Linked DNA regions of Struthio camelus. The protein of the gene in region 1 interacts with the protein of each later gene in a pairwise test. Links are inferred from orthologs where the notes say so. Each region holds a gene or a part of one and is shown on either strand. Other genes may lie near its edges.

The links.
Region 2: the proteins of CASK (region 1) and TBR1 interact in a two-hybrid assay, tested with the Homo sapiens proteins (2 studies listed by BioGRID and IntAct). The link is inferred for Struthio camelus from reciprocal best matches to the Homo sapiens genes CASK and TBR1.

What each region holds. Positions count from the first base shown.
Region 1 is NC_090942.1:127,535,635-127,551,496, reverse strand, and holds the start of CASK (peripheral plasma membrane protein CASK), read right to left. Parts: upstream 7,917-15,862; 5' UTR 7,852-7,916; coding exon 7,793-7,851; intron 1-7,792. UniProt on the Homo sapiens protein: Multidomain scaffolding Mg(2+)-independent protein kinase that catalyzes the phosphotransfer from ATP to proteins such as NRXN1, and plays a role in synaptic transmembrane protein anchoring and ion channel trafficking.
Region 2 is NC_090947.1:26,918,598-26,934,525, reverse strand, and holds the start of TBR1 (T-box brain protein 1), read left to right. Parts: upstream 1-9,822; 5' UTR 9,823-10,372; coding exon 10,373-11,064; intron 11,065-11,450; coding exon 11,451-11,605; intron 11,606-11,931; coding exon 11,932-12,053; intron 12,054-12,436; coding exon 12,437-12,595; intron 12,596-13,541; coding exon 13,542-13,603; intron 13,604-15,915; coding exon 15,916-15,928. Other genes in the region: PSMD14 (26S proteasome non-ATPase regulatory subunit 14), read left to right, coding at 1,634-1,759, 3,108-3,170, 5,607-5,705. UniProt on the Homo sapiens protein: Transcriptional repressor involved in multiple aspects of cortical development, including neuronal migration, laminar and areal identity, and axonal projection.

The DNA.
Region 1 (15,862 bases):
CTCCACTAACTGACCATCTCTGAACAACAGACTGAGACTACCATCTCCATTTTCCTCCACTAGTCTCTCTGTTTTCAGCATCCAAGTTACTCATTTGATAACAATTCACTCCCTGTACTTTAAGGAAACCATAAACAAAATTCTCCCTCAACAGCTATATGCAGTCCCAGGCAAACCATTCAGATGATACAGGCTCGAAGCCACCAATCTACAAATGATGCTCAAATCTACCTCTCCTTCACCACTTAAAGGCTCAGCAAGGTTTACTGGACAGAGTCAGATCACGGAAGAGGAAGAATTTGCTGAAGGTATATTCAAGCAAAGCAGATATGATGTTAATTAATAGAAAGAAAAAGCTTAAGAATTTACAGCATTAGTAAGGAATATTAATAACTGGACAGTTCCTTTGGAATCAGATACTTTGTTTTCAAAAAGCAACACTACAAGAGCATGTTATTAGCTTGGAGACTCTACACTATGGCCTCACATATTCACACTTTAATAACCTTTTAACTGCACTACAGTAATGCGTATGTATCTGGCTATGAAATCAGTACATCTTCAGAAACCTAAACTGTTATAGAAAGCTGCAGGATGCATCTCCCCATTAATACAAGCTCCTGTAAGCATTTCTACAGTGCTTTTCCACATAAATTGGAATGAAATTCAAGACTTCCATAATCTTCAAAATAGCCAACAGTCTGGGTTCAGGATAACTAACAAACTGCTTAAGACTCTACAAAGAGTATGATAGCAGTCAATAGTTTTAATCCTCAAGTATAATGAAACTTGCTATAGGAAGAATAAAGATCGCTCAACAGACTATTTTATATGTATCTCTAAGAGACTATGAAAAAAGAATTCCTTTGGGAATCAATGACCATTAAAAAAAAAAAAAAAAAAAAACACAAGTAAAACCACTGCCACCTAGAGTCCCCAAAATAAGATGAATGTTTCATACCTTCTTATCTCACAATAAACATACCATCACAGTTAAAAAGATAACATATGCACAAAACAACCATGACATGATACCACACTTCACTTACCAGGGGAATAAAGTGGAAAACAAGTATCACATGCACACAGGTCACTTTGCTGTTCAGATACTAAAGCCATGGTATAAGAACCTACAGAGAATGGGGGACTAAATGCTCAAGAAAAGTACTTTTGAAAATGTCTAGAGGTAAAAAGTCCATTCTGGTCATAATTCCTTTCTCATTACATTCGGACTGCAGCCAACCCAAACCTTTTCACAATTATCTTTTACATTACGAAGAATTACAAGTTATACACAGAGGCCTATCATAATCAGCAAAGACTTGCTGAAGAAGAGGAATCTTTTCAGAGAAACAACTAGAAAAGCAATCCAATCTAGGAGAAACATTTCCTTCTCCTGCTGTCAAAACATCTAGTAGAAAGAAAATATCAAGCTGCAAATATTATTCCAATCCTCATTCAGCTATTTTTATTTCAAAAAAGCAAAGATGTGGGTGAGAAAAGGGCTTAAAAACTAGTAACGCTGTTGTTACTGAAACACCAGAAACTAGTTATGCATTTCTGTTTCTGGGAAGGGAAGCATTCATTTTACCAATGGGCATCTCCCAAGAAATGCTGGAATTCATTCTGAATACAGCAGAAGTTTAGTAAAAGAAGTAATTAATCTCACATTCTAAAACACAGTTCAGTTTACAGATAAGTTGAAGTGAAGGCTCTCTGTTTCCATGCTTTGGATGGCCTTACCTAGGTATCTTTTTACATATTTATGTGAAATATGCAAAGAAAATGAAATGGGTTTCTTGGTGTTCTTTTTGCTGGGCATATTAGCTAACTGCTGCACTATCTTAAGGGGTCAGTCTAACTTTTGAAATGACTTTGAATGAGAATTTCGGTCATGCATATATATTTTCATATTGTATGTTAAAAAATATTATTCATCCCTGGAAAAAAGGAGAATCAGTAAGATTCAGATTTTTTATTACTATTATTAATGGCATAAAATATATACTTTAAACACTAACCTCTTTCAATTATGAAATCAACATTTTCTAGATGGCACACACAACGTGACTACAGGTCTCTGAAAAGCGATCTTTGCAAATACCATATTAGGGTTAATACTGCTCAATTACCTTTCATTATCACGATATCTATACAATGGATTATAAAAAGCCAGATGCATCGGACAGTGGGCTAATTAGGGGAGTGCTTGTTGACATAATACGTAGGTCTGTCTTTCTCCTAATATTTCCTTATCCTTCTTTAAGATGAAGCACTGCGAAGAGAGATGATCATCAGAGATCACTTGGGTCCCAAAGCCTAGACCTAATTACTGAAGTCAACGAAGCTTCATACTATTCTAAAAAAGGATCAAACTCAGCAATTCTTCAAAACAAGGTGGCTTTTTGTCCCATAACTTCTCATACAAATCTGCTCCAGTATCTTGGTAGTAAATTGGCTTAAAAATCTTCTAATTTGCAGTCTAAAATTACTCAGGACTAGTTTGCACGCATTTGCTCATCTGCTATTACCTTCAAGGGTTGCCTTTTCTCGAGTGTTTAAACACAAACATATATTTGCAAAGCTCTTACAATCTTTCTCAGTTCGTATTTTCCTAGATCAAATTAAGTTCCTTCACAGTGCCCTCTTACAAAGCCTCTACTTCCCAGTCATTACAGCCATCTTGTTTACATCATGAGGTTGTATGCAAGAATATAGCAGAAAATGAAACACAAACACAGAAAAGAACGCTAGAAAAAGCTGAACAAGTGGAAAGCAGAGTACTGATAAACAGGTATTCTGCAACTAAATAGTATAATTCCATTCTGCTTAGTTACAGTTGGAGAAAACTTCATAGGCAGAGATAGGTCAATATCACAGTTAGAAACCTTATCATAGTACCTTAGCTAAACAGATATTCTAGCAACTAGATACTTCAAATAATCTGTTAGTTTCCTAAAGCAATAACGTTACTATGACCTCATGCTTAAACCAAATATTCATTGCAACTTGTTCATCCGTTCATCTTAAATGCTTACTTTAACACAGAAACCAGTTGGGAATATGTTTTGTTAGTACACTAGTACTTTAGACTAATAAGAAATTCAGTAGCTAAATTAGACCTATCACTTTCCATACTCCCAAAAAGTTCCCTTCCTTCTCTCTCCTTTCCAAACAGTGAGTGCATACTGCAGTTGTTTCACGTTTTCATCTGGCTTGTCAAAATTAAACCCATCTGTTATTTGCATCCGTTTTACAGGAGATGCAAAGCTTCAGTAGTGTCCTAGAGAAAAAGCATATTTGGGGCACAAGAGTACTCCCACTCTCCAGCAGAGAAAATGGAGGCAACGATGATGAACAGCATCACCAAAAGCATCAAACTATTTCTATACCGTTTTGTTATCACAATACTTAAAGTTATTAGCACATGTCTTGGACAAGGAATCCATGAGTTCTCTCCTCCCTTCCCTACTCGTTCCTTCACTGGGACATAAATCTAAAGCATCTTCATCTCAAGATAATAGCTCAAGATGGAATTACAGCAACTCTCTTCTTGTATGACCTTACTGAGATACAGGCCTTGAAACTCTAATGCAAAAAAATCCCCTGTCCACTCCTTGCCCAAAGACCTCACTTCCCTCCTCCTACCTGCACACTTCTTGTAGTGTTCCTGAACTGCTGGGAAGCTGGAGAAGACAGGAACATTTCCAGCCTCTAGGTACTTTAGCTCCTCTTGCTAGACAGAAGAGGCCAAGCAGAGAGAATCATCCCATCACTGAGTCAGGAGGGATGAAAACAAACAAAAATTCTCAGCGTTCAGTGCAAAAAAAGGACCACTCTGAATCCAGTCACACTGCAAAGAACACCCTGAAAATTACAGTAGTATTAACATCAATCGTCACAATGTTTGTTGGTACTAAAAATACCAACAATTTCACATATATAGGGTCCAGCAATGGAAAACAAAAGTAAAAAAATTTGCATAACTAAAGAGTTTAAGTGATAGACAAATTATTTCAATTGCGACCAATACCCATTTTAACACAAATATATTCATTTTATCACATAATATTTATAATTTAATAATTTGGTGAGAAACATCCCAATACAAACTACTCTGAAAGCAATCTGCAATTCTACTGTTAGAAAGAGTAGTCTTTACGCTGCTCCCTCAATGCTAACATAAGTCAACACGAATCTTAAGAGGTGCATAAGTCAAAAACAGGTAATATGAAATAAACAGAACAAGGACTAGAAACAAAACTATCCCTACTATAAAAGCCAGTTTTCAGTCTTCTAGATTCAGTACCAACTATATTTATTCCAACTTAAAGACAGACATTCTTTTTGGCGTAAACAAAACTACTGCTATATGCATACACAGCTCCTACGATAAGCTTAGGACAGTTTTAACGTCAGACGAATACTCAGCTCTACACTCACTAAACTTCATGAAATACTAAATGCATTCTGATTAAAAATGCGTATCAAAAATAAAGAAATACATCTAACACTATTATAAACTGTGAATCTAATGCACTGTATGATCAATGTTATGAAAGGGTTCAATATTTTAGTTTGTGTACTTCTCAATCAATATACAGAGAGAGTCTCCTCAAAGGTTGTCCTTAAGCAAGTCTGAAAAAAATGCCATGCCTGCGCCTTACATCACCACCAGTTATCCCAAGACATGTTAACACATTTTCTAAGGGTAGTACAGAAACTTCCCAATTTACTCTTGCTTGAAGTGAGTTTGTGTCAATCAAGTCTGAAGAAAGGCACTAACCTAGAATGCAACAGATCTGGTATAGTAAAAATACATGACTAATGTTAGCATCTCAAAGAATATCACTTAAGTATAATAAAGATTAACAAGAAATTGGGGTTTTTATTCTAACTTTTAACTCTGTATAGCTTCCAGAAATTGAAAGTTATACTGCCAATATAGGCAAAAGAAAATTGCCTTTAAGTTCTTCTAGAGGAAACATGAACTAAAATTTCCCTCTGTTCCTCCTGGCCCTTTTCTCCTTCACCCATTCAAAATGAAAAAGGCATGCATAGAGAACTTAAACATGTGAAATGCCATGTAATAAACAGTTTATCCTTCTGTCATTTCAGTAAATTCATTCATATACTACTACATTGTAATTGTTATACACTCCAGCACACCAGAAGTTATTGTCATTGTGTTTATATAAAATAAGTCCATCACTTGGATCAGTTTATTGTATTTAAAACTGTTAATCTAAAGTTTAAAATAAGCCTCAGCAAACTGGACCACAGAGTTTCCCAGCTGATACTATCTCCCAGAGATTACTTATTTTTTAAAGTCAACAGAACAAGAACTGAGAGATTTCTCTTACAAGTTTGACTACAAAATGATGGAATGTTTAGTCTAAAATCTCTTTCCCACACCCTTTGTGAAAATATCTTTCTATCTATTTAAAATGACAGCGGTAACTACATATTTAGGAAAGATAAATTACACATTTAAATATTTCATGCATCTGAAACGCAAATCAGGGCCAGATATGTTATCTGCAAGAACTGAATTACTGTATCAATCAATAATAAATCACAGAAACATGGAGACATTTAGTTGATGTTTCACTGAAAGATGTTTAGTAAGATGCATATGTAGCAATTCAAAGCAGATTTACAGCAGTCTTCCTCAAGTTGCTTGAAGATGAGCAAAGCGCTACGTAAAAGACACTAAAAACATTGCATCCGTGGTCCCTAGGAAGGCATCCTTCATAGTGCTGCACAGAAACAAGAATATTGCTTAAACAACTGTATATGATACTATGTATTTCTTTCAAATGTTTTTAGAGGACTCACATAACATCTGTGCAGAAGATCATCAGCACTAACAACGAGCTATATAATCCTTCACATCACCACTGCTGCTGTTTTCAGTGACCCACTCTGTTTTTGCCACAGTGCGCTTGGCATCATTATACTCCTCTGATTTAACATTTGTTAGATTGATTTACATCCCAATGCGACCTGTACTACAAAAACGTCATGTGAAACTTCTATAGCTAATATCTAACTCACAGCTTTTGCGCTCTCTCTTCAAAATTCTCTGATCACAAAACAAAAAGCCCTTTGAAACGTGCAGACGTTTGGATCCCTGTGAATGATCCATTCTCTAAAAGGATGTGCAGTCACATTAAACATAACCACTACACCTTCTTCCTAACAGTAGTCAGATATGAATAAAATCAGGTATGCGAACTACAGTGGTTAGCATAAAACCACTTGTGAAATAAATGTGCCAAAAATAATCTTCAAAACACGTTTAATAACAGGGTTTTGTTTCTCTCCTACAGAAGCTCTTCACCAAACCACTAGCATTAAGTTAGAGCAATCACTTCAGTTTATGCCAGTAAACAAGGCCGTTGCAGCTCAATCTCTAGGAAAGTTGGTTATGTTAACAGAAAGCTAATAACCTGTTAAATGACAGAACTACGTGCTGAAACTTTTGCAGACAATGAAGTAACCTGCTAAGTCCAAGACCAGCATTTTAGTATAATTCTGTGGAAAGATTAATTTCAGATTATTTTTTTAGCCCTAACTTTACAAGTAGGCAGCTCTTGATATAGCAATTGAAAAGCATATTGGTGGAGAGTGGACAGGAAAATGTAGGAAGAAAAAATTATTGGTTTAAATTCAAACCAATTATTCTTATAAAATTCATTGTCACGAAGAAAAAACTGCAGACACTCCAAACAGAATCACTATTAGGGCTTCCACAGCAATCTCTGCTTTTGAATCAGAAACATACAGAAAATTAGGAAGTCACAATATTGGTACACCTCTCATGCCCATTTCGCAACACAAGCACAACTACAGAAGACATACAAAAGATGACAAAGAAACATAGAATGGATTTCAAAACTGGAGAGTCACAACCAATGGAGGAGGGGGGGGAATTAGCTTTAATTCTTGATTGTCCCCTGATTTTTGGGATTCTCTTCATTTCCTTGGCGTGATTATACAAAGACTGACACTCGGACTGTCATTTTCATCCACCAATCAAAGCAGTGACCCAAAACGAGCAGCTGGGCAATTCTAGCAGCTACCTCAACTGCTAGGTTTGACACAAGCCTTGAACATTGGTTTAATAGCGGTTGCATAATAAGACTCAAAAGGCCAAGTTCTCTTACTGCCCGATACATCTTTATTTCCACACGGATGAGGGTGGAAGGCAACTGAGCACTACCTGAGTGTGACTAGTACCGCCACTAACAAGCCGGTTATCATGCAGTAAAGGAAAGAGAAAAAAACCCAACACCTGGCGTACAAATACGCAGACGCCCAGTGGATAGGTGGATCCACAGAGAGAGATACCTTTCCTTTCCCTTCCCCAATAGGCAATCGTTGATGGGTGTGCCAGGAACGGGATATAGGGGGGAGGAGAAGAAAAGGGGTGGGAAGTGGTTGCTGCAGCCAGGCTGAGTGATGGTTAGGCGGTTAATCATGGTGGCTGAGGAAACATCGGGTCACTTCTCCCCCTTCCGCCTCCCGCGCAATAAAGAAGGTGGGCAGCGCGGAGAAGGCACTTGTCATGTCACCGCCACGAGCACAAGGGGGGCCGCGGACCCCACACCGCACGCACGGACTCACTGGCGGCGACTCAGGTGGGTGCCGAGCAGAGCATCCCTCTCCCTCCGCGCCCCGCGGGAGGGGCCGGGCACGGCGCTACCGCGGCCCCCGCCGCCTCCTCCCCCGCTCTGCTCGGTCGCGCACACGCACGCCCTGCCCGTCTCCCACTGCCCGCGGGACTCACTTGCCGATCACCTCGCAGAGCTCGTACACGTCCTCGAACAGCACGTCGTCGTCGGCCATGGTCCGGGCGGGGGGGGGATCAGCCCGAGAGGCGGCGGCGGCGCCGGCGAAGGGGGGAGGGCGGGCGGGCGGGCCGCGGGCACGATCCCCGCCGCGCGGCGCGCTCCTCTGCCGCTCAGCGCCAACCGCCACCACCACGGTAAATCCCAACCGCTACAACGGCTCCCACCGCCGCCGCCACCTTCCTCGGGCGCCGCCGCCGCCCGCCCGGCGGCTCCCACGGCCGCGCCGGGACTCCCGGCGCCTCCTCCTGCGGGCCGCGGCCGCCGCCGCTCCCCGCGCGTGTCACACACTCCGCGACCCCACCTTCCTCCTCCTCCTCGTCCTCCCCCCACCCCCCTCCCGCCCCCTCCCTCCCTCCCCCTCTCAGCCGGCTACTCCCCAGCGGCGGCGGGCGGGCGAGCGGGCAGCTCTGGCTAGCGGGGCGGCGCGAGGTCCATGGAGGGGACCGGCACCACACGGCGAGGAGGGAAGAGGGGCCGGCAGCAGGCGGCAGCGCCGTCTCGCTCCCTCGCCGGGCGGGCGGCCGCGCGCTCCCGGCCGGGCGGGCGGGGGGGGGGGGCGCGCGCGCGCGCCCGGAGGGATCGAGGGAGGGAGGGAGGGAGAGAGAAGGATAATAGTGGGAGGGGGAGGGGCGGGGAGTTGCCGGCGCGGCGGTTGATTACGCTCCGAGGCGCGAGGCGCAGAAGCAGCAGCAGCGGCGGCGGCCGCGATAGGCGCTTGCTTTACTGGAGGGCGGGCGGGCGGGCGCGCGCGCGCTCCCAAACACCGTCACGCAAAGCCGCCGCCGCGGCGCGCGCGCACCCTCCACAGGCAGGCCGAGCAGGCGCGGCACGCACGCATGCACGCACGCGGGGGGCTGCGCTCGTTTCCGCTCGCTTTTCTCCCCACCCCCACGCCAGCCCCGCCAGAGTCGTGCGCGGGGCCACGCCTACTGGCCGTTGGGGGCGGCCCGATGTGCGCAGGCGCGGGCTCCGATGACATCATACCGCGGGGAGGGCGGCGCGGCGCGGCGCGGCGCGGCGGGTGGTTGTCAGTGCCCGCTGGTGCGGTGCGGGGGTGGGGGGAGGGGAGTGAGCAGCCCGTCGGAGGCGGGGCGAGCGGCGGCGGCGGCGGGCAGAGGAGAGGAGAGGAGAGGAGGCGAGTGGGCGGGCGGGGTTCAGGTATTAACCTTTCTTATCTTTTAAGCCGCCCCCTCCCCCGTCGTCAGTGTGGGGGGAGGGGGTATCGCCGCCGCCGCCTCTTCCTCCAGCTCGCAGCGAGCCAACGACTGCGCGCGCGGCGCCGGTGGCGGGTGGTGCCGCGCGCGCAGCCGTTGGCCCCGTCGCTGCGTCGCTGGCGCCTCACGCACCGCTCTGCGCGCAGCCGCCGGAGGGAAGGCAAGGGCCTGGAGCTGGCGGGCGCCTCATGTGTAGGCAGGTGCGGGAAGAGAGGAGCGTTTCCCCACTTGCCGTGGGTCGTTAATGCTGTTATTTATGGAAAAGGTGAGGCGTTTCAGCTGCACGCGTGTTCGGTAGGGACAGGCGTCCTTTTTAGTTTTCACGGACTTGGTTGTAGAAATAAAGAACAGTTACGCAGAACGTTTCTAGAGCTTTGTCCAGGTGGAGTGTGTTTTTTTTTTTTCCTACCAGTCTATTAGTTTCAGGAGGATGTAGATATTTTCTGTAGCATAATTTGTTTCCCCTTCGTTATTAGGAAAACAGCCACCTTCTTACTAGTCCTCAAAGTAGTGAATTAAAAGAACTTTTTAAAGAGTGTCCCTAGATGTACTTTTTCTCCTTTGGGCAGATATGTCGTGGCTTTTTTTTTTAATCTTCTCTGAATAACCCTTTAAAAAGAATGACTAGACATTCAGTTAATTGTAAACATAACTTACTTGATACATTCTGTTCTGTTACTTTTGACCCATTAAATGAAATTCTGTACAAAAGATAGACTAAGTTGTTTAGCTGTGCTTTTCCAATGTTTGAATTAGATGGCTTGCAGAAAAAAGCAAAGCTCTTGAAGGAATTATCCAGGAAGTGTTTTGCAGTTTATGGAAATATTTATTTTTGCTGAAGTACTTTAGCACACATGCAACTTCTTAAAACTCATTAACACAAAGGGAAATTATGCATTTGTTTCCCCTGCACAGGAGAAAGCCTGTCAAAGCAAAATTATCCGATGAGATGCTTTAAAGATTAGCTTTAAAATGCAGAACAAAGGACACTTTGGCAAGAACACCTCCTTCCTTTCTCCAGACAAATTCAAAAGACAAATCAAGAGAATCTGTGGAAATAATAGCACGTATCTCCTGCACGGTGGTAGCCTATGCGGTGAGAGACATTCCCGTGAGACTATGCTCTAAGCCATACAAACCTTTATAAAAAATATTAAACATCATCTGCTATTTAGAATGCAAACAGAAAGCCAATAGTTAGATTGTCTACTCCCTGAATTTCACACTGCTAAACATGTAAGCAACTGTCTTTCACTTTTCTGAAGCCAGCACAACCATGTAGTAGTACCCTCACAGTGTTAAACTCAAGAAGTTGCAGAATATGGATGAGCATTCATTTATATTTTGAACAGAAATTGTCATCTGATTATCTGCAGGGCCATTATTAGAAGCTGGCAAGAATAATTGATACAAGAACACTCAAAGAAGAAAAATGCATATTGAAATAGCAGATCCATTCCACAGCTGAGGCAGATGCTTTTTCTGTTCTAGCAGCACCACTTCACAGAGGTCTCACCTTCTGAATGCCGAGCACCAAGAGGTACGCGAGGCTACGTCACCTGCGTTTGACAGACAAAGCCAAACGCTAAGAGTACTAAGCATAGTGCTTATGTGGGGAGCTTCAGGGCAAATTGTTATAACAGAACAAACCCTTTAAGAACCTTGGAGGGCAGCTGGCTCCATCGTGAGATGGCGGAACACGTAAACATGGTTTCCTAATGGAACAAGGTCTCAGCGCAGAGAGAGTCAGAGTCATCGTCCTGGGAAGGTAGTTTCTGGGAGCACACTTAATACAAATGGACTTTCCCTATGATAGGCGATTCGTTCCCTAGAGTCTAGCCTGCTTGAAGGGTCCTACTACCTTTGAGGAAGGAGGATGATGGCTTCTTTTTTACCTAATGGCCTAATTGTTTCTTTGCGGAACAAAATTAAGACACTCTTATTAGAGTGGCTGTGGCATTCATTGCTTGGGCTTGCAAGAAGCAAGACAAAAGTATCAAAGGCTGCAAATATATCAGATCTCCTCGTTTAACAGGAGGAAGACCAAAGCGGGTGCTAACTTTTGACTTGGGTGAAAAGAAAGAATTTGTCTGAAGCAGGATCTAGGATTTATATGCAGATCTGTATTATCAAAAGTTGCTACAAAAATAGCAGAATCAGTAAGGGTATCACTAAGTCAGAAGTTACTACGATTGATGAGAACTATGCGATAATCTGTATCTATGCTAATCTTAGATTCAAATTGATTGGGCTCACGAAAATAAGAGTGTCAGTTTGTCAACTTTGTCAGCAGCAAACTCCCAACAATAAGTATGATCATCCAGGCAATATACATGCAGGTATGTTTGTGATCATGAATTTCATCCCCAAGTTTGAAAGTGGTCATTCCCTTGCCCTTTCACAGGCAGGTGTTAATAATCTTCACCCGAATATCCAATATATCTCCTTGATAGATTTCAAGAGCCACAAGAGACATGGGTTTGATTTAAAAGCTTAAGGTTGAATTCTGAAATACACACATCTGAAATCTCATAAAAAAAGTATATAACAAAATTCTATTTGAAATACAAGCAGAAAAAAACTTTACGCTTGAGACCTGGAATGATTTGCTTAAAAGGATGATGAAAACAGTTCAGCGCATCAGCCATTGCAGGACTGGGAGAGGGATGTACTCACTTCTTCATAGGGAACACAGAAGAACGAGAACACTGACTATTGAAAGAAAAGATATGCTTTATCATCCCTGATTGCCTTCCCCAACCCGCTGCAGGCATTTGCGCTGTTTGTCAGTCAGATTCTGAGCTGCCAGTTTACAGTGTTATATTTTTAGGCAAACCACTATTGTTTAATTCAAAATTTCATGTTAAAGTCGTAAGAAATAGCTAAGTGTGGGTTTGGGCACTAGAAAATCTATTTCATAAAACTTTATGGGGTTTCCAAATTTTTTCTGGCTGTGGCCTTCTTACGGTGTGCCTGTATGTCTGTGAGCCTATATGGCTCACTACTGGTGAGCCACAAAGCAACAATAAGTTGTTCAAAGGTTGTTTATAGAACCATAATTATGAGTAACATTTGATCAGCCTTTATAGTGTTTTCATTTAAAAGCATGCTGTAAAAGGTACATGGTGATTAACATGAAATTCTAGGAGCTGACAGTAGTCTGTAATCCAAAAACTGTAGGAAGCACCAAATTTGATAACCGAGATGCTAAGCATAGTAGTGCTCCTGGTACTTTGATCTGTAACCTGTGTATTTGATCCACTCCCATTATGAGGTTTCAGAATGATATTGACACTAAAGATGAGTGATTAGTGTTAGTGATTCATAAGACAATTTTAGAGGCCTACCACATTTCTGACAAACTTTACCATATTGTTTATGAGTGCAAATTCTATGACCTGACAATTCATAATTTGGGCAACAGAAATGTGTTTAAGTTGCAATGAAAAGAGGTGATAGTTGGATCACGACATATACATTTTCAGTCCTTGTCAAAAATGTCTGTATCAGGAAGATCCTAAAAAGCCATCAACCAACTCTGAATAAGTCTGGATAACTCCTCACAGAAGTATGTAATTAAGTCAGCTTGGAAAGCGAATGTATGGCAGAGCAGTCTGCAACAGCTGAACTCAAAGGTAATGCATTGAACAAGCAGTTCCACACCAGAAATAAGAAGGCCTCCTTTCCCGTGAATGTGTATCTTACAGGTAAATGGTATGTGTGTCTAGAAAAATCTCTCTCTAACTGCATTTTCTCCTTACTGGAGCTTTTCAAGCTCCTCTGCAATGTGAGTTCTCCATTGTTTAATGAAAGGTGAACTTCCACTGCCACCCGTACTCAGTGAAGACAGTAATGAGGTCTCTGTCTTCTCTGCCGTTCCCTATATTCAAAAGACAGTTGAAGCTTATCTCTGGGATTTGTACCTTGTCTCCATCAAACTCCATTGACATTGGCCCACAGGTTCAAAAGTTCTTGGGAAAGGAGAGATACAGACGTGCAAGTATATGTGAACATGGCAAAGGATAAGCGTCTTTTCCTCAGGCAACCAGCTAAGAACTGTCTTTTTTTGTTTTGGACAAAGAATTCTTTTTCAGTGACCTTCAAACAGGGTGACTTCATCACCTTCACCATACTAAACTAGCTACCCAGCTAGAGAATGCTAAGTCAAGTAATCAGCCAGATCTTGGCTGAGGAAGGAGAAGGGAAAAAGTCTGGTTCCTCGTCTGTGATTAGACCGTAGTCGTAATAAACCACTAATGACAGTAACACTACTGAGGACAGTAAACCAAAACTTAGTGAATGTGCCTTGCCTGAACTCCCCATGTCTTCCTGCAGCTTAGATTCAGATTTTTGTAAAAGATGTTGGTGGCTTTTGGTTGTTGTGATCTGATACACCCAGAAAGCTCACAGTTACCTTTCAAAATCAGCTTCCAAAGGTGAAACGGTCCCATATAGGAATAACTAGCAACATAGACAGGAAAACTTAAAAATTGCCTAAGCCCTCACTTAATAGAGTTTCTTTGTTAGCTATTCATTTTTTCCCTTTCTTGTATGCTGTGTACCTGTGAACAATCTGATTCAATTACTGGAGAGTTTAAGGACACACACTTATTTCTCCTCTCCCCAGTTGCAGCTTTTCCTCATTGTCAGGTATGGATTAAGTAATATGAATTGTAGTGGAAATCTCCATGTGATCCTTTAATTGACTTAAAAACAAAGTAAAAAGCTCTTACAAGATGTACAGGGAATAAAAATAGGCAATAAAAACAGGCAATAAAAACAAGTCAAAATTCAGGCCCTCTCTTCAGTATTATCCTGAACATAGATTTGCTACCGTATGCTACAGTCATGCACCTATACACAGAAAAATAGTTTAAAATCACTTCATAAGGAAGACCTCCAAATGCCAAATACAGCATTAAAATAAAAAAAATATATGTTTTCTCCCGTATCTTCCTTTTCTTCTCTCTTGCATTTGTCACTCCCTCACTATCTTTGGCAGAACATAGTAGCTAGGAACTCCGGAAGGACCTCGCAAAACAATGTGTGGGGAAAAAGGGGCAGAGGAACTTTGATGTAGATAAATGGAAGGGAATACTGCATCTAGAGCAAAACTAAATTCATGCCATCTGTATCTGATGCTGAACTTGGAACAGGCAGTTACAGCTCTGGAAGGAGCACTCAGAGTCACCTCTGACAGTTTACTGAAGCCATGGCCTCAGGTGCAGTGGCAGCCGAAAAGTCAATAAAATATTGGGCGTCATCTGGAGAGGCGTGAAAACAGGTGAGTATGTCATATGTCTCCGTTTAAAACTCTGGTACACCCTCAGCTGAAGGACTGGGACAGTTCAGGCCTCCTCCATGTCCAGAAGGACGTAACAGAATTTGAAAAGGAACAGAGAAGGACAACAAAAGTGTCCTGGGGATGGACCACTTCCCTCAACAGGAGAGGTCAAAAGACTAGGATTTACCAGTTTGCAAAGAGATCACTGAAGGGGGATACAACTGAGATTTACAAAGTCATGAAGGTAGTAGATAAGGTGAGTGTAAAACTGTTAATTGCCAAATCCTGCAATACTAGAAGCAAGGGGCACTCGCTGGAACTAGTAGGAAGGCAGTTTAAAGCAGATACATGGGAGTACTTTTTTTTTTTTTTAAATATACATACACACTGGGTAGTGAACTTTTGGGAACATGCTGCCACAGGAGACTGTAGAGACCAATAGTATCATCAGGTTCAAAAAGGGATTAGGCCAATTCAGGAATGACACATCATTACAAACAAATACTAGAAGTAATAGGCAGGGATATGCCCTGGAACATCTCTAATACGACAAGTGCGGATGCTGGGGAAGTAGGAGGGGAAGTGACTGCAGATAGTGGCTAGGCTCTCGTGATCTTCCTAAATAGTATCTCCTACTATCACTGCTCTGTTTTCATTTTTAAAGGTGTAAAGACAGTCCTCCGCTACCACAAAGTATGCGGTCAACTTCTCCACGTTCAGGGAAATCATAAGAGCCAGCACACCTGAAATGCAAACCGTGAGCCTTATCTCAGGAAGACCACGTTAGTGAGCCTAGCGTCTACCCTATTGGGTAAGTAGGGCTAGGCTGACTTATGAAGACATTTCTTATATTCTCAGCCTTTTGGTTCTATCCTGTGCTTCATTTTTCACTCCCAAGGTGCTTCATCCTCTTCCTTGTTACCCAGCTTTTTTCCTTTCCTCCCAATTTTCTCAGCCTATGTTCTTTTTATATCGTGTAGAGCTTCAGAGAAGAGACAAAACTCTGCTCTGCCTCCCCACTTATATCTGTATTTACTTCCTGCTTATTTCTCCCTCTTATGATTTCTCTTTCTGAAATGTTTTGCTGACATTGTATGATTATTCATACCCAAACTTAGACGTTCTTTTATCCTTCAAGAACAAAACCACCTGCAGTTGAAGGAGTTAGTATCGACTTCCCGATGTGGACCTTCTCAAAGTTACCATTGAGTTACAGTTCTTAGATTGTTTGGAGCAGACCTCTGCAATTCAGCAGAGAGAAAGTCCTGGAGGGCAAAGATGTGTGCTTTCCATGTCCCATGAAATTCTATTCAGGTTAGATGGAGGGAGAAACTGGTAGAGTGAAATCCTTTTTTTCCACAGAATGTTATGTTGGCAGCAAAATTCCGGCAGCCTGCCACGATAACGAAACATAAGCATTCTCATCCTAAGCAAAGTCTACTGCAAACAATATTGTGCTGGGAACCTAAAGTAGATAGGCTGTAGCTAAAAAGCTGTAGTGAAAGTTT
Region 2 (15,928 bases), on another chromosome or scaffold:
CGTGCTCATGGCTTCGTTACAGTTACAAGTTGATCTCACAGTTGGAATTCATGATGCACAGGTCAGAATAGTTTTCTCACTTAACTTTGACTTCTAGGGGGCTAGAAGTAATAAAAACAGTTTTGGATCATGGAAGAATATATATGCAGATCAGGGAATTGAGAAGAATTTTCATAGCCCTTTTTAGGACAAAATCACACTGTCAGGACCTCAGTGTTCCTCAGCAGCTTTTGCTAATCTGTATATGGAAACTGATTCAACAAAACCAGCTACCTCAGGAGGCGCTTATGAAGCTTCCAGAGGTTGTTTCCATTAAAACACAATATTGGCCAAGTCAATATTTTCTGAAGTTCCAAGTGCATATTTGGTTTAGAGGCTTTACGTTATGCAAGTGATTACCATTGGAAGTTACTGAAAAATTTTAGCTAAGTTATAAGAGCTTGAATCTGTGAGGCAGCAAGCATCTCTGCAAGTCTCTGATAAAGCAGGTTTGTATGTCAAAAACACCTCATATGGTGGTTTGTAAACTCCATTTATATTAAGAAGAGTACATGCTTCATGTCCTTCATAGATGAGGAGCCTATCACAAAACCATAATTCAAAATCTAGATAGCCTAGCTAAGCTATCCATGCGCAACTTGCCTACAAAGGATTGTGTGTTGCTAAGATCTTGCTAATATAAATTATGACAAAAACTTTTAACTCAGTTCATGTGATCCAAAGCCAGGTTTTGGGGGGAGAAGTATGTTCAATGAAAAAGTCACTTTTTTATTCAGGTAATATGAATTACAGGGTTTATAGGTTCTCAAAGGCTTCTATAGTAAATGTTTACAAATTGGAGACGAGCTGAAACTGTTTGCCGAAAGAATCCTCCCTACAGTTCTTGTGTATGCAGATCATCTGTGGAATATGCTTGCTTTATGTATGGAAATCAGGAAATTCCCGTTACAGTTAAGCCTTCACCTTTTCAAGAGTGTCATCAGAATGCCAAATAAAAACACTTCATATGGTTCTAATAGTCCCTGTGTTTATCACCATCAAAAATCTACTTTGTTTTATCATGTTATTTTTAGGGCTGTTTATTTGGTCAGACGTATACAAGTCTTGTTTCATTTGCTATTAAAGTTTGCTGCACAACTTTTAACAGCTGCTTGCATATAGTTCAGGTTCATCAGTGAAGCCTAAATATCTTCCAAATTGTGTGTTTAATCAATTAAAATTTTCTAAATATTTTTCAAATTTGACAGAGGCCAGAGGCTTCAACTACTGTCTGTTTGGCAGCTAGAATATTCACCTTCCTATTATCTCTTTTACACTGCAGTTGTGCTTTCTTAACCTACAGCAAAAATACAAAAACAGAAGCAAGACCTGAGTATTCCTACCAAAGTAAATTTAACCTTGGTTTCTATGCCTCATTTTCATATTCAGGCTTCAAAAAGTTTGATCTTAATTTATGGAAGAAATCTGTTGTCTACTTTAACTGAATATTTGATTGTTTGCCATATTTAAACACTGAGAGTTCAGTAATTTTTCACTGATGTTCTTACTGCTATATATTGTGTTTCTGTCAAACATCTTCATAATATTATGGATGTATTTTATGATGCATGTTTTAAGCAGTTTTTATTTGCAGATGTTGCTAAATTTGCATAAGAAGAGTTGGATGGAAGGTTTGACACTTCAGGACTACAGTGAACATTGCAAACTCAATGAAACTGTAGTGAAGGAGATGTTGGAATTAGCTAAGAATTATAACAAGGTATTGGTATCCCGTAACGATAGTATAATTGCAACAGTTTATGAAGTGAAGGAACTTTTTATTTAATTTCCGAAGTAAGAAGTTGATTTGTCACAAACCATCGTCAAAGTAACTTGTAAAGGACTAGACTATAGAAATGAAACAATCATTGCAGGAACTCTTTTGGATCTTGATGCTTGTTATCATACCAGTTTTCAGGATTAGGAATTTTATGCTTGTTTTATATGATCTGTTTTCAGCAAAGAGTTTCGTGAGGGACTTGATTTGGTTAGATTATGCACAAGTACGGCTATAATGGCCTTGTGGAGACTGTATTCCCAAGTTATTAATCAGCTATATATCACCTATTAACTTTTGTGAAGTACCAGGATAGCTCTTCGATCTTTTTTTTCCAATCTAAACTAGCAAGAAGTTTATATGTTGAGCTTTAAAATGGGAATAATCACATCAATTTTGTATTTGCCAAGATAATGTACAGCTCCTGTAGCTCAAAGTGAGCAATTGATTGTATTCTTCGTTCCTTCAGTCAAGGACTACTTGACCAGTCTTCAGCATAGTAGAATAAAGGTCTATCCATATCATCCCATTAGATAGATGGATAGACGTTTACTCATTGTAGAGCCTAATTCCATGTTATTTTAGATAAAGAAAATATTGCTTTTGTAAGGAAGAGGAACCACAGTTATTTGTACTGTTTTAATACTAACATGCTTTAAAAATTTGTTTAGAAATACTAGGTCTCAACAAGCACTCTGTAAATAGTAAGCATGTCAGTCATTCTTAATATTATACAAGTACTATTTTTTAAACTTCTTGCTTTTAAAACAACAAAAGTCAATATTGCCTTTACTCGGTAAGTAGGCCCATTTACTTTATATGGACACTGCATTTGAAGACAATAGAACGTTACAAAAATATATTAAAATAGGTGACTCAAAAAGTACAAAAAGACTTACTGAAGATGAAACCTGCAATAGCTGGAACAACGTGGGTAACATTATTTTTGATTTTCGTGTTATTGCTTTAACTATCTTTAACCATCAATACCCATCATTTAAGACTTTAACATAAATCAGTTTGGTGAATACATCTTGCTTATCTGACAATAAAACCGTTCATGAGTATTCCCCTTGATCTTTTGCACTAACACTTAGTAATTAAAACCATGTCTGCTGAAAAGCTGAAGTACCTTTCCTTTTGACTTTCTGAAATGTGTTGCTGTTTGATTTTTTTTTTTTTTTGAGAGAGAGAGTGAGTGCAAGAGAGAATTATATTTTAAGAATCTTGTGGCTTGGGGAAAAAGTAAACGAATTCTGAAACACTGACCTTTTCTGTGTTTCTTTCACAGGCTGTTGAAGAAGAAGATAAGATGACACCTGAACAGCTGGCAATAAAAAATGTTGGCAAGCAGGTGAGGTGCGATGAATTAGAGTGAGGTGGAACGATAAGCTTGGTTCATTCTAAATATTAATTTCCTTACATGTGGATAGGTGATTTTAGTTCTATGTATGAGATATTCTCAACTCTGCAAATAATTGATTTATTTTTGCTGAATATTGTTGTGTCAGGAGCAATTGGCTTTTGACTTTAGGTAATACGGAGAATACCTGCGAATCAAGTTCTACATGCATTACATGCTGAGGAGTACTATTCAGATATGGTAGTTTTTCTTTTCTTTTTTCGTACAAGGAGAGGCATAAAAATATCTAACTCTTGTTTTAGTGTTATGGAGAGGCCAAAACCATGGGGACTTAAACACATAAACAAACAAACAAAAAGGCAGGAGGATGGTTTATGCATTATCACGGCTAAAGAGCCAGCTGACCTCTGTGCTCGGCTTACACTGTGGATGGATGCTTAGCTCCAGTACATGCTTACATAAGCTGCATTGCTTTGTATTGCTGTTGAAGGAAAAACAGTTTAGGACCATATCTGAAATGGAGAATACCTACTCAATCCAATCTATTCCTTCAAAATATCAGGATACAGTATCCTTATAGAGGACTTGACAGAAAACTATTTCTACATTTAATTTGAATTTAAAAGTTGAGGAAAGGTACTGTGATGGGAGAGAAGAGAACAGAGATCAGGTTGGTAAGAGATTGTCTTAAAAATTCAAGAATGGCAATGGAAACAATATGTAGCTTTAAAAACATCCAAAAGTTCTTAAAGAACCAGTATTTATTGTATTGTTCGTAGCAGTAGAATTTAAAGGACTCTGGATTGCTCTTGTATGTCAGCTTCTGGCAGCTGTGTCAAAACGTATTTGTAGTATTGTTCAGTCACTCGTGTATTTCTGTAGCATTCAGAACAATGGCCAAAAAAATCTGTATTATACCTGTATATATACATATGTGTGTGTATTTATGTGCACCTACACATACATAAATATATAATAAAACATGTAGGAAGGGCTATATTTTAAGGGTTATGACATCATCTCAAATAGAACCTAAGCTTCATTTGTCACTTAAATTATTACGCATATGTGGAAAAAATCTTTATTTTGATTTTTTTCCTCTTTAAAAGTTTTTTCTGATAGAGTTCCAAATGCAACAATAAAGTTTAGAGATTGTTCTGAAATGTGCCTGTAAATTTTTCAGTATTTATTGGGGATTAATTACTTAAACTCAGTTCTGAAAAAAATTCTCAATATGGTTAAGTTTACAACCAGAGATAATCTTATTATTCTTTGCAACTGCACAAAAATGCCCACATCAATTGAGTGATAGTGTGTGGGGATGGATATTTTCAAAATGTTGTTCAGGCTTAGCATTCAGATTTGCAAAACATTTGAATAAGTTATTAGGCTTTTTTAAATTTTTGGTAGGAATAAATATGTTAATTTTCTTGCAGTTAATAAGACTATTCAAAGACTATGTGTTAGATTGTTTGAGTCTCTGCAGGATTAGAACACAAATTTGTACAGGATCTGAAAATATGTTGCGCCATACCAGAACTAGGTTTAAACCATTGGCCTTGTTAAGGTGCATACTAAAATACTCATTGACCTGCACAGAATTAGGATTTCATCTAAAATTTTATTAAAGTATTTCATATGGCCTTATTTAGTTGATTTACAATAAGGGTATATCAGCCTGTAAACCTTTGTGGTATATATTTTGATTTACATTGAAGAAGTATTAATTCCAGCTCCACATGTTTTTGCTTTTTTTTCTCTTCCCAGGAAATACCTGTGTAAATACATCAATTGAAATATTAATCCAGAATAACTTTGAAGAGCTTTTTGTACTTGTTCTCATGTTTTGTAGATTAGATAGTTTTTGGTATGTAATTTTATTGCATTCATGTTGCATCAAGAACATATCCATATCTAGATACTGGCAATTTCACAGAGCACTACTATACCAAACTTAGCACATTGAAATAGCTAGTTGATACCAGTAGAGTATTTTTTACTCCGAATTACTTTGTATGGGTTTTTTTGGCTTTAATGGACCTGACCTCTTAAATTTGAGACCACTGGCAGACAGAAGTTCTGGATAGTTATTAATATAATTAATAAGAGCTTTACCAACACTGAGGAGACAATTCCAAATACTTTGTGCCATCCTGTAGAACTTACAGCTGCCAGGATTTCTTTTCAGATGAGGATAGTTTTAGGAAATAAATTTCTATCCAGCAACTTCTCTGAATGACAATAAGGACTAATAAAATCTTACTTATGGAAATTCAGTCATTTGCCAGGTTAGTTGGAAAGGAAGGCTTGGGAGCTTCACTAACCTATGTTCCTTAATTCACAGTCTTGTTAAATAGAACTGAAATATATGAAATCCTTCAGTGATATGTTTTAGTCATTTGTCTCATGGCATACTTTGTATTTCAGGACCCCAAACGTCATTTAGAAGAGCATGTGGATGTGCTGATGACCTCAAACATTGTCCAATGTTTAGCTGCTATGTTGGATACAGTTGTATTTAAATAACCAATTTACTGTTTGTGATGTTTTCTGTGTATATTTGTTTATTGTTTCTAATACTCACAAACCAGAGACTGTTGAGGCTATATTTGATTAAACAGAGACATCTGACTTCATTTGCAATGTAAGTGCAGCACAATAACACCTTCAGTCTCTTAATTGTGCAGTTGCTTCGGTTTCTTTATGTCAGGGTCTTTACAGATTCCAAAGCAATTCAAGAACACATTGCGGGCAAAATGTATTACATTTTCATTTAATATGGGGTTGGGGGGGGGGAAATCAGTAGGACATATATATTTTGATTGTTGCAGCATAATAAAAATACATTTACAAACCTATCTTAAGTTCTGGAAGGCCTTTTTTTTGAAAGTCGGAAATTAACGGTGTAGGAGAAAGCTGTGCAGGTAAAATCTTGACTTTTCCATCTACTGTAAAACTACTGAGATATTAATTAGTAGGACAGCAAAAATTCTCAAATGAAACTTGCCTCCCATTTACCAAATACTCTTACTGACACAACAAATTTGTAGTAGCACTGAATTCAGAGGACATAAGAAACAAAATACTGAAAATTGCTATGACAGTTCCCTTTTAATATTGTTCAAGCCATAATATCAACAGAAGACAATTGGCCTTAAGAAAATGAATTCAACTATGCTGATAACCAAATTGCACAATGCTCTCACAAACAGGGTCATAAATAGCTGTTTTCCAAGAATAAACATTAAAATAGCAGAGGCTGTTCTAGATTATCAGATTATCCTTTGAAAGCAGGCCTGACAGGAGGGAAGGTGTATAAGATGTCCACATACATATATGTATGAGTTCCAACTGGAATGCGACATTTAAACCCCTTTCCACTGACTAGAGAGGGAAACATGGGAAGGTGGATGGGTTGACTGTTGGGTTTTAAGTAGACAAAGCCAAGTAACAAGGTTTGGGGGAGTGTGTGTGTGTGTGTTTTTTTTTTTTTTTTTAAGTATTGGATGATGATTAGGCTGATTTGATTCTTTAGTCTGATCAGGAGTGTTCTCTTTCTGTTCATGCACAGTATTTTTTTTACCTACTGGAAAAAAAAATTAATAAGCTGAACTAATTGAGGCATGTGATCATTTTAAAACTGCTACATACATCCCGTTTTGTTAAAGATGATTTTTAAGTGATTTGACTCATTATTTGCATAGTGAAAAATAACCCATAACATTTTGTCTTATTTTTGTAAATTGTGTCCGGTAATTTTCTGCTTATTGTTCATTACAATTCAAACATTTTCCTTTTGTTTGGAATTTCATATTTAGGCCAATTTACTATTTTCAAATAACTGGCTCAAAGTATATTTAGCATGCATTTACTTCAGAGGGAAACAAATGCCGATTTTTTTTTTTTCAGCTTCCCTCCTTATGGCCTTCCCCCTGCTGCCCTTAGTATGCAATAGAATATGACACGGGGAAAATGGAGACATAAGCTACGTTTGCTTAAAAAGCTCCATCTATTTAAGTGGAAGTGCTTTCTGGTAACTTGCACCGAAGACCATGTCACTGGTGAGCAAGGGTGCGCTCAGGCCTTGTAGCTGCCTGGAGCGCGGTACACCCGCATCCAAGGGTAAGATGGGGCAACACCTGGGGGCTGCACCTGGATATTGTCTTGCAGGAGGCCTCCACTGCCACTAGATTGTGGCAGTGCCGCTAGATCCACACACACGCATCGCTGTGTGAGGTGGATGTGTACCTTGACAGGTCTTAAGTCACGTGGCATCGCAGACCAAGAGAGCAGCTCTTGCAATGTATGGAAGGGCAGTGTAAGCAGGAGCCAAATCAGCGAGCCTTACGCGTTCTAAGTTAGTTTTGACAATTTTCCATCTTGCAGGGGGTAGCTGAAGGCAATCTGGGAGGAAAAGCAGATGTCCTGTAGCATGGGCTTGCACTATAGTACTCTGCTTTCTGTCCAGTGCGCGGTTTGACTTGGAGGCACAGTTTTCCCTTTACAAAGATGTTGCGTGAATAACCACAAGGCTGTGGTTTGGGGCATCTTTCTTCCTTTTGCCTGGTATTTTGGGAGATACACAGAGCATTTGGAAGTGTGCATGCATGCAGTAACCTGAAAAGCAACAGCCCATATAGCATCTTGGAGGAAGAAAGAGGTTTCCAAGCAGCCACCTTCTGAGCCTCCAGCCACAGTAGAGCAGACCTTCATTAACAGCTTGACCCCTCGTCACCTGTCAGCATGCAGGACTGGCATATTGTATTAGCAAGCCCCTCTCCTTCATTCTATGACAATTCTATAACACCACCTGCCATTGCATATCCACCTATTATACCAGTTTAGGAGCTGTGCACACTGAAGATTTTTGGCATATATTAACACTTCCATGTGATTGGCAGTATACCACTGAATTCACTGCAGCTCTGCATGTATATGGGTTTAGCTATGTAATTTAGGGCAGCATTTCCCAGTGTTTATCTGTGTTTTGACCCATCTCCTGCCTGTATATCTAAATCCATTATCTTTCAATCAGTTTCAAGCAGGGGAGTGCAAGGGTGGAAACGCTAGTGAAACAAGTGTCAGAAGCAGTAGTTAATGCTGCTATTGATAAAACTATTTTCTTAGCACTGAAAGCAGGTATGGTTTGGGAGGTCGCATGCACTGTACCAACAGACTGTGAGTAAAACGAGTAAACTTGTGCTCGCTTCTGCTTCATAAAAGATGATTAGAATAATTTCTTTGCAGAGAGCAGGTATGACAGGCTTCCATGAAATGCCAGATAACTGCACTAGATCACAGTTAAGCAACAGAAAAAAATTATTAGATTGCCATGAGATTTGCAAGTGTGGAAATGCACGTTCTGAAAAGCAATCTGGGTTCTACCTGGGAGAAGTCCCAGGCAGAGTTTGCAGAGTTTCAGTGTGGCTTCAGCTGAATACGTTTTGGGTTTGATTTTGTCACGGGATGGCCCAGGCTGCATGGGCCGTCAGTGGAATTTGAATCAGGCTGCTGGTGTGAACTGAAAAGAGGTGTGATCTGCAAAATATCTGAAGTCCCACCAGCTAAGGGGAAAATATTAACAAAAATGCAGCAAGAGAGCACCTCCCCCGGCAAAAATCAGTGCTTTTAAAACTCATAGGCTTGCCTAGGAAAGGAAAATCGAGGACGCCGATGCTCAGGAGGCATAGCAGAGGCCGGGGGGACGTGCAGCTCTCCTGGCATATCTTCACCCCGCGGAGGATCCTGCCTTCAATTAGCGCAGAGCTCACAGGCACACGGCGCGGGGCCCGCCGGGCTGGGGGCAGGCGGGCGGCCGGGGGCCGCTCAGCGCCGGCGCGGCTGGGTCCGCGCTGCGCGGAGGTGCGCGGGCCTCGCCCCCGCTCCGGCCCCAGCCCCCGCCGCGGCCAGCCGGGCTGCCCCGCTCCGCTCCGCTCCGCCGCCGCGGGGCCCCGCGGCTCCACGGCCCCGCCGCCCCCTCCGGGCGCCGAGGCTCGGCCTGCGGCTCTGGCGGAGACGCCTGGAGTCCGACGGGGCTGGCGGCTCCGCGTGGCGGTGAAACGGTTTGGGCTTCTCTCCTGCCGTCCTAAATCTCTTCCCTGGGAAGAGACGTCTGGGCAGCCGACAGTGCGTTTCCATGCGGCGAGGTAATCGCTTATGACAAATCTATTACAAAAGATCTCTCCTCTCCTAGCGCTGTCTGTGTGATGGAGTCACTGAAGGAAAACAGACATCGAGTGGAAAGAAATCTGGAGCTGGATGGGTAGATGGATGCCTTCTACGGTGTTTTGCTGATAATCTCCGGCATTACAGCACGCAGATAAAATATTTATTTACTAAAGAACCCGTAAACATCACGGCAAATACATTAGGGCACTTCGGCGGTACGGCTTATAATTATTTCAGAACTTAAAAGAGGTGATACGTTGTCGCTGTGAACGGAGGCAGCTTGCCCGCAGTTTAATGGGGACGGGCGTTTTATTTCCCCCCGCGGAGCGGGCACGGGGGCGGGGGAGTTGCGCGGGCGGGGGCTGTTGGCCGCGGCGCGGTGCTGCGCGGCGCTGAGGCCAGGCCGGCGGCGGCCGCGGCCGCGCTGCCCCTCGCAGCCCCGCGGGCAGCGACGCCGCGCCTCGCTCGGGTGCCCGAGGTCCGCAGCACCCGGTCTCGTCTCTGCTGCACAAAGGGGCACACACGCAGTATTTGGGGAAATGTGAGGCTTCGGGTTTATTTCCCAGCCATAGCCATAAAAAATAAAATAAAAAAAGAAAGGTCACGTAATAATGAGCCCTTATAGCAAACACACACTTCCCTTCCCCCCTCGCCTTCCTTCTCTCTCACAATAAAATCATCCCCTTCAATTTGCCATGATCGTCGCGACCAGGAGCCAGGTGATTATCCTAATTAATGTCTATCTAATTAAATTACTGTCAGCGGTTAACCAATGGCAGAAGCCGTTTCATCCTCTCCACAAGCAGCAAGATCAAAAGTGAGTCTTTCCTGATTGCTGCATAGTGTCAATTGGCCAATCTCTTCTCCCAGGGAAAAAAAAAAAAAAAAGTAAATCAAACGTTTGGGAAGCATTTGGTGGATGAAGTGCTTTCTGTCTAGTGAGGGTCCCAGGATGTCTAGCTTCTGATACTAAGGAGCCCTTCCAGAACCAGGGACTGAAGGGTTATTCCTGTGGTGCTAGAGCTATGCAGCTGGAGCATTGTCTTTCTCCCTCTATCATGCTCTCCAAGAAATTTCTCAATGTGAGCAGCAGTTACCCACATGCAGGCGGATCTGAGCTTGCCTTGCATGATCATCCCATTATCTCGACCACTGACAACCTGGAGAGAAGTTCACCTTTGAAAAAAATTACCAGGGGGATGACGAATCAGTCAGATACAGACAATTTTCCTGACTCCAAGGACACACCAGGGGACGTCCAGAGAAATAAACTCTCTCCCGTCTTGGACGGGGTCTCTGAGCTTCGTCACAGTTTCGATGGATCTGCTGCAGATCGCTATCTGCTCTCTCAGTCCAGCCAGCCCCAGTCTGCTGCCTCTGCTCCTAGTACCATGTTCCCGTACCCCAGCCAGCATGGACCTGCACACCCAGCCTTCTCCATCGCCAGCCCCAGCCGCTACATGGCTCACCATCCTGTGATCACCAACGGAGCTTATAACAGCCTCCTGTCCAACTCTTCTCCGCAAGGCTACCCCACGGCGGGCTACCCTTACCCCCAGCAGTATGGCCATTCCTACCAAGGGGCACCTTTCTACCAGTTCTCCTCCACCCAGCCGGGGCTAGTCCCCGGCAAGGCTCAGGTCTACCTGTGCAACAGGCCACTCTGGCTGAAATTTCACCGGCACCAGACGGAGATGATCATCACGAAGCAGGGGAGGTAAGCCACCGCGCGGACCCTCGGCGGGGGACGGGGCCGAGCCGGCGGGCTCTGCCGGGGGAGCCGCCGGGCTCCGCCGTGCCGCCGCCCCGGGGGAGCCGCCGGGGCCGCGGCGGGGCCCCTGCGGCGGGGCCGGGAGCGCCCGCTGTGCCGGCGCCGGTGCCTGCCGGGCAGCGCCCGCTGCCTCCCGGAGGGTGTCCTTCCCCGCTGCCCTCGTCCCTTCCCCATGGAAAGCTCGACGTTTCGGGGAGGGAGTTTTTTGATTTTTTTTTCCCGGTCGCTCCTAGACGCTCTGAGGATAATGCACAACGGGCTGGTTCCTCACTGTATGTATCGCTGGTGGTGGATTTCCTTTTTTTTTTTTTTTGTTTTTCTCCTTTCAATAGGCGTATGTTCCCTTTCCTAAGTTTTAATATTTCTGGTCTCGATCCCACGGCTCATTACAATATTTTTGTGGATGTAATTTTGGCGGATCCCAACCACTGGAGATTTCAGGGAGGCAAATGGGTTCCTTGCGGCAAGGCGGACACCAATGTACAAGGCAAGTTCCTCCAATTAACACTTTTCCCGACACATATGTAGGTGAGAATGATTAATTAAAGCCTTTGTGGACTGGCTCAGGCGACTTCTTAAACGGGAATGGGCCAATGATGCCTTAAAAAAAAAAAAAAAAGGAGGGGTGGAGGAGACAGTAAAAGGTGTTCGGAAAATACTGTTTTAATCCTGGTCGGCTAAAATGGAGGGAGTTTCGGCAGTAAAATGCTGCTAACTTTAATGGGGTCATTAGACCCCGTGCTCTGCTGCAGTGGCAGAACTGGGCTATGCGGGTGAACTGTGATGTGGTGGTGTTTTTGTTGTTTTGCTTAGGAAATCGTGTGTACATGCACCCCGACTCCCCCAACACGGGTGCCCACTGGATGCGTCAGGAAATCTCCTTTGGGAAACTAAAACTTACAAACAATAAAGGAGCATCAAACAACAACGGGCAGGTCAGTGACAGAAAAGCAGATGCTCTACAAGCCTTATTTTTGTTGCTTTAGACAAAATCCTGCAGTCTTCGTTCCGACCTGTATTTTCATAGATCATGTTGTTAGGTGAAAAAAAAACGGGGAGCGGGTAGATAAAGCCTCCTCTTTTCTTTTGCTAATGGCCTTGCAGGCGCTAAGTGCCTTGCCCAGTCTCACTCCGTTGCTAGATGTCGCGGGGAAGCCGGCAGCCGCGCGGGAGGCGGCGGCGGGTCCTGGGGCGGCGGGTCCGCGCCTCGCCGCCCGCGGCAGCGGCTCGCTCCGCCGCCGCGCCGGGCTCCCGTCCTTCTCCCTCTAATCCCCTCTTCTTTCCCTGGCCCCCTCCCTCCCTTTTCTTTGCCTGACAGATGGTGGTTTTGCAGTCCCTACACAAATACCAACCCCGCTTGCATGTGGTGGAGGTGAACGAAGACGGGACGGAGGATACCAACCAGCCGGGCAGAGTGCAGACCTTCACCTTCCCCGAGACCCAGTTCATAGCCGTCACCGCCTACCAAAACACCGATGTAAAGAGCTCCCTGGTCTATTTCGCTCGCGGCCGGGGCACCTCGGCCCGGCCCGGCCGGCCGCTGCGCTCGCCCCGCGCGGGGGCTTCTGCGCCCGGAGATGGGTCTTCCTATCTCCGGCCTTAAAGTTGCCATTTTGCATCGGCCGCCGCCGCGGCTCGCGGCTCCCGAATACTAGGCGCGATCTGCCGGCTGCAGATGTCTGCGCTTTTTCGCGTTTCCCCGGATAGCCTCCCGTTAGACTCCCGGCAGCCGGGACCCCCCCCGAGCGGGCTGTTCCTTGCCGAGCTGGCAGCTTCCTTGAGAGGCCAAGCGGAAATTCTCCTGGCGTTTAGACTGCTAAAACTAGAGCCCGATATTTATCTATGGATTTTATTTTCCTGTCGGGAACAGCTCAGTTAGCTGGTAGAGCTTAAGCTTTAAAACCTGCAAAAATCAATTAACAACCTCATTGCCTGCACTGGGGGTGATGGCACAACTTCCTCAAATTAAAATCTCGTTAATGTATGGCTACGTTTTGAAGTGATCTGTTTTTGCTATAGACTTATGCCCTCTATTTTTTTTCAACTAACATATGTTCGGTCCACATTTTTGCTTTACTTATTTTGGTAGACGCAAATGTAAACTCTTAGCTACCGTTCTGCGATACGTTTTTTCCCTCGTTTCTGGGTTTAAGTGTATTCAGCGCCATGCAATACGAATAACTACATTTCTGAAAACATTGAGTTAAATAGTAATTTTTATCGTAATTTTGGGAGATTAAAATAAATCTTAAAATTCGACTTTGATCTCTGAAAGCATGCTAAAGCTTTGTTTTCCACATTTCAAAGAGAGGCCATTTGATCGACTTAGAGTATTGCATGGTGCTTTAAAAAAATGTGTTGGCTGTACTCGGGTGTATTTTTCGGGCTTTCATAACGTGCGTTCTGGTCCTCTGCTTCTCTAGATCACACAACTGAAAATAGACCACAACCCTTTCGCAAAAGGCTTCCGAGACAATTATGACACGTAAGTAAACTGGATTTTTATTACCCTTCTGCCGGCTGCGCACGTATGTCAAAGCGGGAGGCTTTAAGGCGCGGATTGGGCTCATTTAAAACTGAAATGTGTCATGTCAGGCTTTTTTAGAGCCCTTTGAGGGGGAAGGAGGCACTCGCAAGCTCCCCGGACGGGGGCGGAGGTGCAGGGGCCGCTCAGACCCCCGTTGGGCCCCGCTCCCGGACGGCTCCTGCTCTCCGCGGGGCCGCGGTGCTGGCGGCGGCGGCGGCGCAGAGCCGCGGCGCGGGGCGCGGAGGGGCTGGCGGTGCGGCTGGGCTCCGCGCAGCCCTGCGCAGCCTGCGGGCGCCTCCGCGCCTGGGGGCCCTTTTCCTGCAGCTGAGCCTGTATCTTGCATTGGCACTTGCGACGGTTTGTTGTTGGTTTTCCCCGGCATTTATCTGGGCCCCCCTTTCCAAGTTTCCGTCTACCCACTTGCGCGCCAGGGCTCCGAAAGAGGCACCTGTCACATGCGGACTCAGGCACTGGGCAAGCCGCCTCGTTTGAATAATCCCGGGCTCCGCAGCCCCCAGTGTCCGGAGGAAAATCTCTTCGTCTCGTTTTGATCTTCTCTGGGGTTGGATTTTTGTTTTCTCCCCTTCTGGGTGGAGCGAAAGACTCCGAAGTTTTCCTCGCGGCTTGCCCCGGTGCTGCCTCTGCTCGAGCGCCCAGGGTCCGCCTGTCTCACCGAGGGGCTTCAGCCCACCTGGCCGGGCGCCGGCTGAGCCGAGCCGGGCGCGGCCGCAGGAGCTGGGCGCCGCGACACCCGCCGGCGGCCGAGGGGACCGCCCGGCCCGGCCGGCAGCCGCGGGCGCCGACGGCTGCTGCTCGCCCAGCCGCAGGGCTGCGGCCGGCCTGGCACCCCCCTTCCCCCGGGCCGGCCGACCCGCGGGGCACGGCGGGCACCGGGCAGCCCCCAGGCCGCGGGGGAGCGTGCGGCGCTGGGGCTCGCCTGCCCCACGGCCAGCTCCAGCTCTGCAGGACGGGGCGGCGGCTTGGAGGGAGGAAACCTCGGTTTTTCTCTCTGAACAGGCAGCTGGGAGCGGCCTCCCTTGCAGCGCTTGCAGAGCGCTTAAGCCCGCGCGTAGCTTCAGCGCCTGCTTAAGTCTCCCTCTGCTCTCGCCGCAGTGCAGCTCCCCCCAGCAGTGGGATTTCAGTGCGACGGTGGGGACGATGCCGCGGCCTGCAGCGGTGCGAGAGGGGCCCGGGGCCGAGCACCGGCTCCCGGGGCCAGGCGCGTCTGCGCCCCTCGCCGCGGGGCGGGGGTCACGGCGGGCCGGCCGCGGGCAGCCGGCCGCTGCGGCGGGGGACAGGCGGTCTCCAGCGCCTCCGCGCTGCTCCACCAGCTCCGCGAGTAAGATGCGCGGCCTCTAAAAGGGCTCTTCGTGGCCTTCACCCCTAGCCGCAAGTGCTTTTCCTCTTGTTAATAGGAAAAACTTTATAGGGCGTCACTTTAGAGGAGACGGGGGGAGGGGGGAGCTTCAATGTTGTCTAGCACGTTGAATTTGTTTAAGGGCCAAGTTTATTTTGGATAAGAAATTCCAGGAGGCGTGGAGGGTTAATTAAAGCACAGTTTTAGCCTGAATTAAATACAGATAGTAGTTATTCATCCATTAAAGTTTTTATAATCGCAAATTGCAGCCCAGCATGGGAGAATTATATATAGGCCACGCAGGGAACACTGGTTGCGTCTGGTTTTACATTTCCTACAGTAGGTGTTTAAAGATTAGCTTAATTTAAACTCAGTAAAATGTTGATGGTTCGTCTGTGACTCTCAATAATAAGTGTTAAACAGCCGATATAATTCTGTAGTCTGCCATTCATGCTGTTCGCTACAAATGACCGGGTTGCCTGTTGCGCATCTGATGGGACTGGTCAATGTGTCACAGTGCAGCATTTCCCGAGATACCTTGAAAAGCCGTTGGGATGCGGAGCTCAGATACGAGCACGATACCTCCTCCCTCTGAGCGCGAACCTGTTACACCCAGGCGCGCTGCGAAAGAGTCGCTTGCGGTGCTTTTTCTCCCCCTCCCGTCCCCCCGTTGCGGCCCTCAGCGCTCCCAATGCTGGAGGCCGAGTGCGAGAGGGAGCGCACCAGCCGCTCTGCGGGGGTGGCGCTGGGGGGAGCCGGGCCGGGGCCGCAGCGCCGCGTCCCGCCCGGCCGGGCGGCGAGGCGAGGCCCGGGGGCCCGGGGGGCGCGGGGCGGGCGCCCGGGGCCGAGGCGGGGTGCCGCAGGGCGCCGGGCCTGCCGCGGACACCCAGCTCTCCGCCCTTGTCTTTGGCAGGATCTACACGGGC